2 linked regions of the Struthio camelus genome follow. The main gene of each other region encodes a partner of the protein of the gene in region 2 in a complex. Links are inferred from orthologs where the notes say so. Each region holds a gene or a part of one and is shown on either strand. Other genes may lie near its edges.

The links.
Region 1: the proteins of GLB1 (region 2) and CTSA are in contact, whole or in part, in a cryo-EM structure (PDB 7KDV), measured with the Mus musculus proteins. The link is inferred for Struthio camelus from reciprocal best matches to the Homo sapiens genes GLB1 and CTSA. Residues at the interface, in NP_033882.1 of Mus musculus: Tyr198, Asp199, Arg202, His206, Leu229, Thr233, Leu234, Gln235, Asp236, Leu237, Lys258, Phe259, Glu260; in NP_001033581.1 of Mus musculus: Glu29, Asp31, Ala37, Lys38, Gln39, Pro40, Ser41, Phe42, Arg43, Tyr107.

The regions. Positions count from the first base shown.
Region 1 is NC_090959.1:19,333,139-19,337,036, reverse strand, and holds the start of CTSA (lysosomal protective protein), read right to left. Parts: upstream 2,438-3,898; 5' UTR 2,398-2,437; coding exon 2,323-2,397; intron 2,301-2,322; exon of another isoform or gene 2,279-2,300; intron 1,910-2,278; exon of another isoform or gene 1,815-1,909; intron 1,468-1,814; coding exon 1,310-1,467; intron 1,163-1,309; coding exon 1,051-1,162; intron 917-1,050; coding exon 866-916; intron 518-865; coding exon 431-517; intron 321-430; coding exon 165-320; intron 1-164. Other genes in the region: NEURL2 (neuralized-like protein 2), read left to right, coding at 3,749-3,898. UniProt on the Homo sapiens protein: Protective protein appears to be essential for both the activity of beta-galactosidase and neuraminidase, it associates with these enzymes and exerts a protective function necessary for their stability and activity.
Region 2 is NC_090943.1:52,586,780-52,590,677, reverse strand, and holds the start of GLB1 (beta-galactosidase), read left to right. Parts: upstream 1-1,379; 5' UTR 1,380-1,629; coding exon 1,630-1,683; intron 1,684-3,898. Other genes in the region: TMPPE (transmembrane protein with metallophosphoesterase domain), read left to right, coding at 133-175.

The sequences.
Region 1 (3,898 bases), on a different chromosome or scaffold from region 2:
CTGCCCCGTGCCCAGGAGAGGGCCCAGCACACCAGCTGCCAGTGCAGCCTGGCCTTGTCCCAGCACTGGCCTCAGTACAGCTCACAGAGAGCCAGTTTGCAAGGTGGTGCCAAGCCCTCTGCCCCCAGCCCAGGCCAGGCAGGCAGCAGAGCTGAGCTGCTCACCTTCAGGTTGAGGCTGGGGTCTTGCATCACCCACTCTGCCAACGTGGGGATGTAGATCCCCCCGTAGCTCTCCCCCGTGAGGAAGAGTTCATTCTTCGAGTACTCAGGGAAGAGACGAAGAAACTCTTTCAGTGCCAAGTAATTGTTGTGAGCAACCTGCAGGCAAAAGGAGACATGGGTCAGACAGCATGGCAGGACCCCTCCACGTCTCCACAGGAGCGGGGCAGGCAAGGGACAGGTCACTCCCAGCAGCCTGGGTCCCTCACCTCAGTGTCATTTGTGGCGTACTTCTTGTCATCAGAGTAGGAGAAGCCAACTCCGGCGGGGGACTCCAGGTAGAGCATGTTGGCAATCTGCAGGGAGAGCAAAAGAGCTGGAGGACAAGGGAGACCCTGCTTCCAGGACTGTCATAAGAGCCATTGAGCACAGGGCTGCTCGCTATCATCTACAGCAGCGCCAGTAGGAGCCTGGCCCTGCCCTAGCTCTGCTCTGGACAGCCATGTTCCCACCCCAGTCACTAGCAAGACCTGAGAGGACAGTGGGTCAGGCAGACAAGCTTGCAGGAGGCTCCGTTCCCTCAAAAGGGCAGGAGGAACTGGCCCAGGGCCACCCTCTCTCCCAACAGCCTGCGGAGGGACCCACTAGTCGCTCACACAAGCTGGGCAGGAAGAGCTGCTCCTGGCCAGAACTTGTGCCCCTACCTTGTTCCAGGCGTAGTCGTTATACTTCAGAGTGACCCCATCCGGCTGGACCTGGGGAGGGAGAAGACAGTGATTGACGGGCAGCAGGCACAAGCCAGTCGAACCCCGGCAGGACAGCCCGCACTGTGGAGCCCGCCAGCCCTCGGCAGCCCTCCGCCCCAGACCACAGGCCAGGGACTGCTTACCAGGAAGGGGCCGTGCTCTTTCAGGAAACCCTCCATGGAGCTGCAGCCAGGGCCCCCGTTCAGCCACAGCACCAGAGGGCTGCTCTGCGGGTTGCTCTGGGCTTCCACAAACCTGCGTGGGATCAGGACCATGAGCATCCAGCGCCCTGCTGGGCCCCTGCCCCAGTCCGGGTCAGGGCAGTGCCCAGGGCACAGCCCTGTGCTCCAGTACAGTACTGGGGTACCAGCACAGCACCAGTCGCAAGGCAGCCCCACGTACCAGTAGTGCAGGCGCTTGGTCGGCCCGACGCAGAGGTAGCCAGAGAAGTGCCGGAAGGAGGGCTGTTTGGGGAGCCCCGGCAGGTAGGTGACCTCGTGGCCAGACGGAGCAGCCTGGCTCAGCCCCAGCAGCAGTGCGCACAGCAGCACCGGCCCCATCTGCAGAGGGATGGACGGACGGATGGACGAGAGCTCAGCGACGCTGGGTCGACCCGACGGGCCCGCAGCCCGGCCTGCTCCGGCCCCGCCAAACCCCTGACCCGAAACCACTGCAGCCCTGAGCTGCCCCTGGCCCGGGCCCGTCCCTCCACGGCTGGCTGCCCCCAGTCCCTGCCCCAGCCCTGAACCGGCCCAGCCCAGTCTCTCCCGCTGACCCTGGTCCTGGCCGAGTACCGGACTGGTGCCCCCGCTGACCCTGACTGTGACTGTGACCCCGATCCCGGTCCAGCCCGGCCCCCTCTTCCGACCCTGGTCCCGGTCCCGGTCCCGGTCCCCCCCCTGCTGACCCCAACCCTGGTCCCGGTCCAGTCCGGCCCCCTCTTCCGACCCTGGTCCCCGTCCCGGTCCCCCCCCTGCTGACCCCAACCCTGGTCCCGGTCCCGGTCCCCCCCTGCTGACCCCAACCCTGGTCCCGGTCCAGTCCGGCCCCCTCTTCCGACCCTGGTCCCGGTCCCGGTCCCCCCCCTGCTGACCCCAACCCTGGTCCCGGTCCCGGTCCCCCCCCGCTGACCCCAACCCTGGTCCCGGTCCCCCCCCGCTGACCCCAACCCTGGTCCCGGTCCCCCCCCTGCTGACCCCAACCCTGGTCCCGGTCCCCCCCCTGCTGACCCCAACCCTGGTCCCGGTCCCGGTCCCCCCCCTGCTGACCCCAACCCTGGTCCCGGTCCCGGTCCCCCCCCGCTGACCCCAACCCTGGTCCCGGTCCCCCCCCGCTGACCCCAACCCTGGTCCCGGTCCCCCCCCTGCTGACCCCAACCCTGGTCCCGGTCCCGGTCCCGGTCCCCCCCCGCTGACCCCAACCCTGGTCCCGATCCCGGTCCGGCTCCTGCTGGCGGCGGCTCTCAGCAGCCCCACGTGACTCGCGCCCATATGACCTCTGAGCGGTCACGTGCCTCGGGGCGGGGCTTCCTCGCGGTAGCCAATCAGCGCCCCGGCAGGCGCGCGGGCCCCCGCGCCCGTCCCCGCCGCGCGCACGTGAGCGCGGTCCCGGCACCGGCACCGGCACCGCCCTGGGACTGGGCGCTGCAAAGCGGGGCAACCCCAGGACCTTGTACCGCACACCAGGGCCGGAACACCGGCACCGTCCCGGCACCGGCACCGCGGGTCCGGCACCGGCACCGTGTGCTGCACACCAGGACCGGCACCGGTACCGGGGGTCCGGCACAGCCCTGGGACCGGCACCGGCACAGCCGGTCCGACACAGCCCCGGCACCGGCACCATGCGCTGCACAGCCGGTCCGACACAGCCCCGGCACCGTGTGCCGCACAGCCGGTCCAGCACAGCCCTGGGACCGGCACCGTGTGCTGCACACCAGGACCGACACAGCCCCGGCACCGGCACCGTGTGCTGCACAGCCGGTCTGACACAGCCCCGGCACCGTGTGCCGCACAGCCGGTCCAGCACAGCCCTGGGACCGGCACCGTGTGCTGCACACCAGGACTGGCACAGCCCTGGGACCGGCACCGTGTGCCGCACAGCCGGTCCGACACAGCCCCGGCACCGTGTGCCGCACAGCCGGTCCAGCACAGCCCTGGGACCGGCACCGTGTGCCGCACAGCCGGTCCGACACAGCCCCGGCACCGTGTGCCGCACAGCCGGTCCAGCACAGCCCTGGGACCGGCACCGTGTGCTGCACACCAGGACCGGCACAGCCCCGGCACCGGCACCGTGTGCCGCACAGCCGGTCCGGCACAGCCCTGGGACCGGCACCATGTGCTGCACAGCTGGTCCGGCACTGTGCCAGGACCGACACTGTGTGCTGCACACCACGACCGGCACAGCACCAGCACCGCGTGCTGCACACCCTGGGACTGGCGCAGCCCCGGGGTCACCCACGGGACCGGCACTGAAGCACACCCGTGCCAGGCCCCGGCCGCGGCCACGCGTGCCCAGCCCTGCCGGAAGGGACCCCACGGCCGCAGGGTGCTGGCACGGGAGGAGCGAGGGAGCCGGGGCGAGCGGAGGTCGCCCCACGCCGCGCTCGCGCTCCCTTGGCCCCAGCCGAGGGGGGGCCCTGGGCTGGGGGCAGAGCCATTGGAGAGGAGGCTCCACGGCGGCTGGCACCTTGGCCCCGTCCCACCCCTCCCGTGGGCCCAGTGGCACTAGGACCCCTCAGGGCCACCCTCGGCCCGGCTGTCCCTATTCGGAGGGTGCCGTCACCGCCTCCCCCAGCAGCTGCCTGGAGCTGGACTGGGCTGTTTAAAAATAGCCGTGTCAGAGATGGCTGCGCAGTGCCGCTCCGACACGCGCTTCCACCATGTCCACGGCACCAACGTCCGCATCGACCCCTCGCACACCCAGGCCACGCGGGTGGAGAGCTTTGCCAACGGGCTGTGCTTCAGCCAGGAGCCCCTGGAGCCCGGGCAGATC
Region 2 (3,898 bases):
GGGCCGGGCCCGGGGCGTGGGTTGTGCGGGGCTGTGCGCCGAGGGGAGCGAGCGGGCGCTTCGTGGTGGGCAGCAGCGGGCCTGGGCGCTGGCGTGGCGGCGTGCGCGGCCGCGCGAGCCTGAAGGCGCCCGATGCCGTCTCTTCCCAGAAGCGAAGTGGGGTCAGGCCTGGTCGGTTAGTACTCGGCCGTGAGACTGCCTGGGAAGAAGAGGTGCAGGAGATGTTTTGTCCCTTTCTGTTTTAGGGTGTTTTTTTTTTTTTTTTTGCTTCCCTTGCTTGCCCTAGGTTTCGTCAGCTGCCCTATAGAGCCTCAGGCAGGAGGTGGAAATGGGCCACGTCGAGGCCGTCTTCCACCTGCTCGTGTCCTGCCAGCAGCGTGGTCCACTAGCGTGACGCAGCACCAGCAGGCGAGCGGGTGGAAGAGGGAGCATCAGGGATGTGGAAAGACAGGAGACAGGATCCCAGTGGGTGTTGCTCCCAGAGGGGCCAAGCCCCAGGCCACCTTCAGAGACAGCTGGGCTTGTAGAAGCTGGTAGAGACATGGCAGTCCCACCTGTAATGGTGTGTGCTTATCAGCATCTCTTGTGCCGGGCCGGAAACTAGGAGACTCCTTTTCACCTCGTTGGTGTGGGAAAGGTGGAGGTGTGAGGAGGCAGCGGGGGAACTTCCTTCGTCCCCTCTGGGTAGCTGGGATGCGAGCCTGATGCTGGAGGGTTTCGGTGTCCTGAGAGGCAGGCTGGCAGGGGGCTGAGCTCCCCGATCCTGTGAGTGATCCTTGTGGGGAGGATGGGGAGGGGGCATATGAAGTAATCTGGAGGGCCTGAGGTTGGTGGGTACATCCTTATTGTATTGCTGGTGAGTGAGAGTGCGCATGTTACGCAAGGCTGGTAAGGTGGGATTTGTAAGATGGGTGAGGTGGCTGTAGAGACGGTGCAGGCAAAAGGAGTGGTGGGCTGTTGGTGGCGCTCCTGTTCACAACAGGGCAAGGAGGGAAGCAGCTTGGATAGGATTGGAGTAGCATGATGCCGCGGTGTTGTCCTTAAAAGGAGAGAAAGAAGCCGTTCACTTGCCTACGGCCAAACCACCCTGAAAGCGCCCGATCTCGTCCGATCTCGGAAGCTAAGCAGGGTCGGGCCTGGTTAGTACTTGGATGGGAGACCGCCTGGGAATACCGGGTGTTGTAGGCTTGCTTTATTTATTTTTTTTTTTGCACCCTCGTTTCCGAGGGTGATCGGCTGTTTTACACTTCCCCCCCCCCCCCACACACACACACACTCGTTCAGGTTTTTGTGCACCGTTTCCAAACGCTGGGCAGGAGGAGACCTGCCCGCTAATGCTTTTGCTCCCCTATTTGTGCTAGTCCCCCCGCCCCGCTCCAGCAGCCTCCGCATCGCCGTGACCAGCTGCCTCCTGCCTCGCTTTCCCCTGTGCTCTCCCCCAGGCGCCCGGGAGGGGCTGTGGGGGGGTCGAGGAGGCCCCACGCGAGGCGAGCCGGGGCGGTCAGGCGGCGCCACGGGGCGGAGCAGACCCGGCGGGGCAGTCAGCTGACGCCGGCGTGTCATGGGACGGCGTGCCGAGGAGTGCCTCGTCCACCGCCGCCGCTTCCTCCCTTCCCGCTGCTGTCCGGCATGCTACGGCTCCTGCTGCCGCTGGCCGCCTTGGCGGCGCTCCTCCGGGCCGCGGTGAGTCCCCTCGCCTCCCCCCCCCGCCTAGGCGCTCCCGCTCCGCCGCGGGCCCCGGGGACGCCGCTCTGCGGCTCGCCTCTCCCACCGCGGCCCCCTCGCCGGCCGTTGGGAGCGGCCGTTGGAGGGGGGGGGCGGGGCGGGGCGGCCGTTGGGAGCGGCCCCAGGCTCTGAGGGGCGCCGGGGTGGCCCCCTCGGGGGGGGCCGCGCTGCCTCTGCGGGCCTCGCCCGGAGCTTCACCGCCCCGGGAGGAAGAAGGATGCTGTCTGCGCTGCCTCTGCCTTTTTTTTTCCTCTCTCTCTCTCTTTTTTTAAATAACTGAGATCCATTATTAATTCATTAGTGATTTATGATCCATTGATGTTGTTATTTGGGGTGCAGATGTCCGGCTTTCCCTCTGTTCCCTGGTGGGAATTGCCAGGTGGAGGTGCAGCTGCAAAAAGAGGTTTGGGGCTGGGAGGGCCGAAGCATGGCGCTGGCCCTGCTCCTACCCCCCCCCCCCCTTCCGTGGCTGGTGGTCTCTCAGCTGACTTTCATTTCTGGGGAGGAAGCGCTGACAGCGCCTTCCCCTCGCAGCAGGAGAGGTGTTGTGCATCCTCAGTCAGGGAGGTGATGGATTGTCTTGTTCGCTGCTTTTTTTTTTTTTTGGTTCTCTCCGATACCCTCCTCACATGCCGGCCGGCCGAAACGGTTCTGCTAGGTGTACTCCTGCCACCATTTAGGCTTTGTTTTGAGAAACATTGTACTCTCGGGCCTAGTTAGGCAACCCTTGGGGCGGGGGAGGGGAAATGGAGCTGCAGTTACCTGATACCTGGACTCCATTAGCCGATGGCACGCACCGGAAACCTTGCTGTTTCTGTGGTTGCGTGAGAAGAGGGAGTTACACCCTTCCCCGCGTCGATTCTTTGTTCGTGTGCCGAAGGCCTAGCTAAATCCTTCATCTTTACAAATATTGTGGGAGCCCTGCTTTGGCGCTTGTGCTTTGAGTTGGAAGCAAACTATTTAGTTATTTTGATGCAAGCTTTTAACTGCAAAGATGGTTAAAGCAATGTGAAAAGTAGCACAGCTCCATGAGAGACGTTTATCAAAGGGAATGTTGAATAAGTCATGATCTTGGAGAGAGGTGGCGTTATGACTAAGGCGGTGTGTAAGAACAATGGAAAACTGATTCCAAATTTAGTAGTATTGGAATGGGAGCACTTGGTGAAACTAATAGATAAGTCTAAAATGGATAAAGTACTTCATAAAGGAGATAGTAAATTGCAGGAATTTGCTCCTGCAGGAAGCAGAAGCAGACCGTATCAACAGGTTCAAAAAAGAATTAGGCAGATTAATGGACACCAGCTTCATAAATAACATACTAAAAGGACTAGGCAGGGGTGCTACATGCCTAATGTAACAGCTCTGGCTGCTGGAGGGGTACGTGGGCTGCAGAGGGGTGCCAGGGTCATGTGATTTCTTTAAACACTTCCTGTTGCTGCTCTTGAGACAGAATATGACCCCGTGGCTAGAGAAACCATGGGCCTGACCCTTTGGGGCATTTTTGGTGTTCTTATCTGCCTAGCTTTATTTATTTTCTGTAGAAAGCACATATGTAAAATAGTACCTTTTTTTTTGTAAGAATGGTGTTACGACAGCTAAGAAGGCTTGAGGAAATGAGACTTTCTCTGTCAACCTATAGTTCCCTGACCGATCAATGAAAGAGGGTCCTGCAAAATCCTGGCTTAGTCCTTAATAATACAGTAGGGACCTGTCGGTCTTAGTGGTATTAATGTTCCTTTAAATTAGCTTGGGAAAGTACATGCTACAGAGTAGCATTCTGGCCCACTTGGGCTTTGTAGACTTTTAAGTTCACTGCATAACCCAGCAAGGCTGCTTTCATGCCCTAGTTCCGCAGTATTTGGCTGTAATGATTGCTTGCCTTTCCTCTAGTTAAATATGGACTGAGAGACAGGAAGTGTTTTGAAATTAAGTACGTGCTGCTGTGTGGCTTGAACTAAGGTAGTTGCATCACCTGAAACAAACTTGATCACTATTGTAGGTAATGAAAGACCTTCCATGTTTTTTCTTCTTTGATTAAAATAAAATAGCGGGGTTTATTTTAAATAAAAATACACAAACTGTACCAGAGTAGAAACACTGTGAACTCTGAGCAAAATACAAAGCAAAACTGGGAATTCTAGTATAAGTTAAACATAACTGATGCTTATTTATT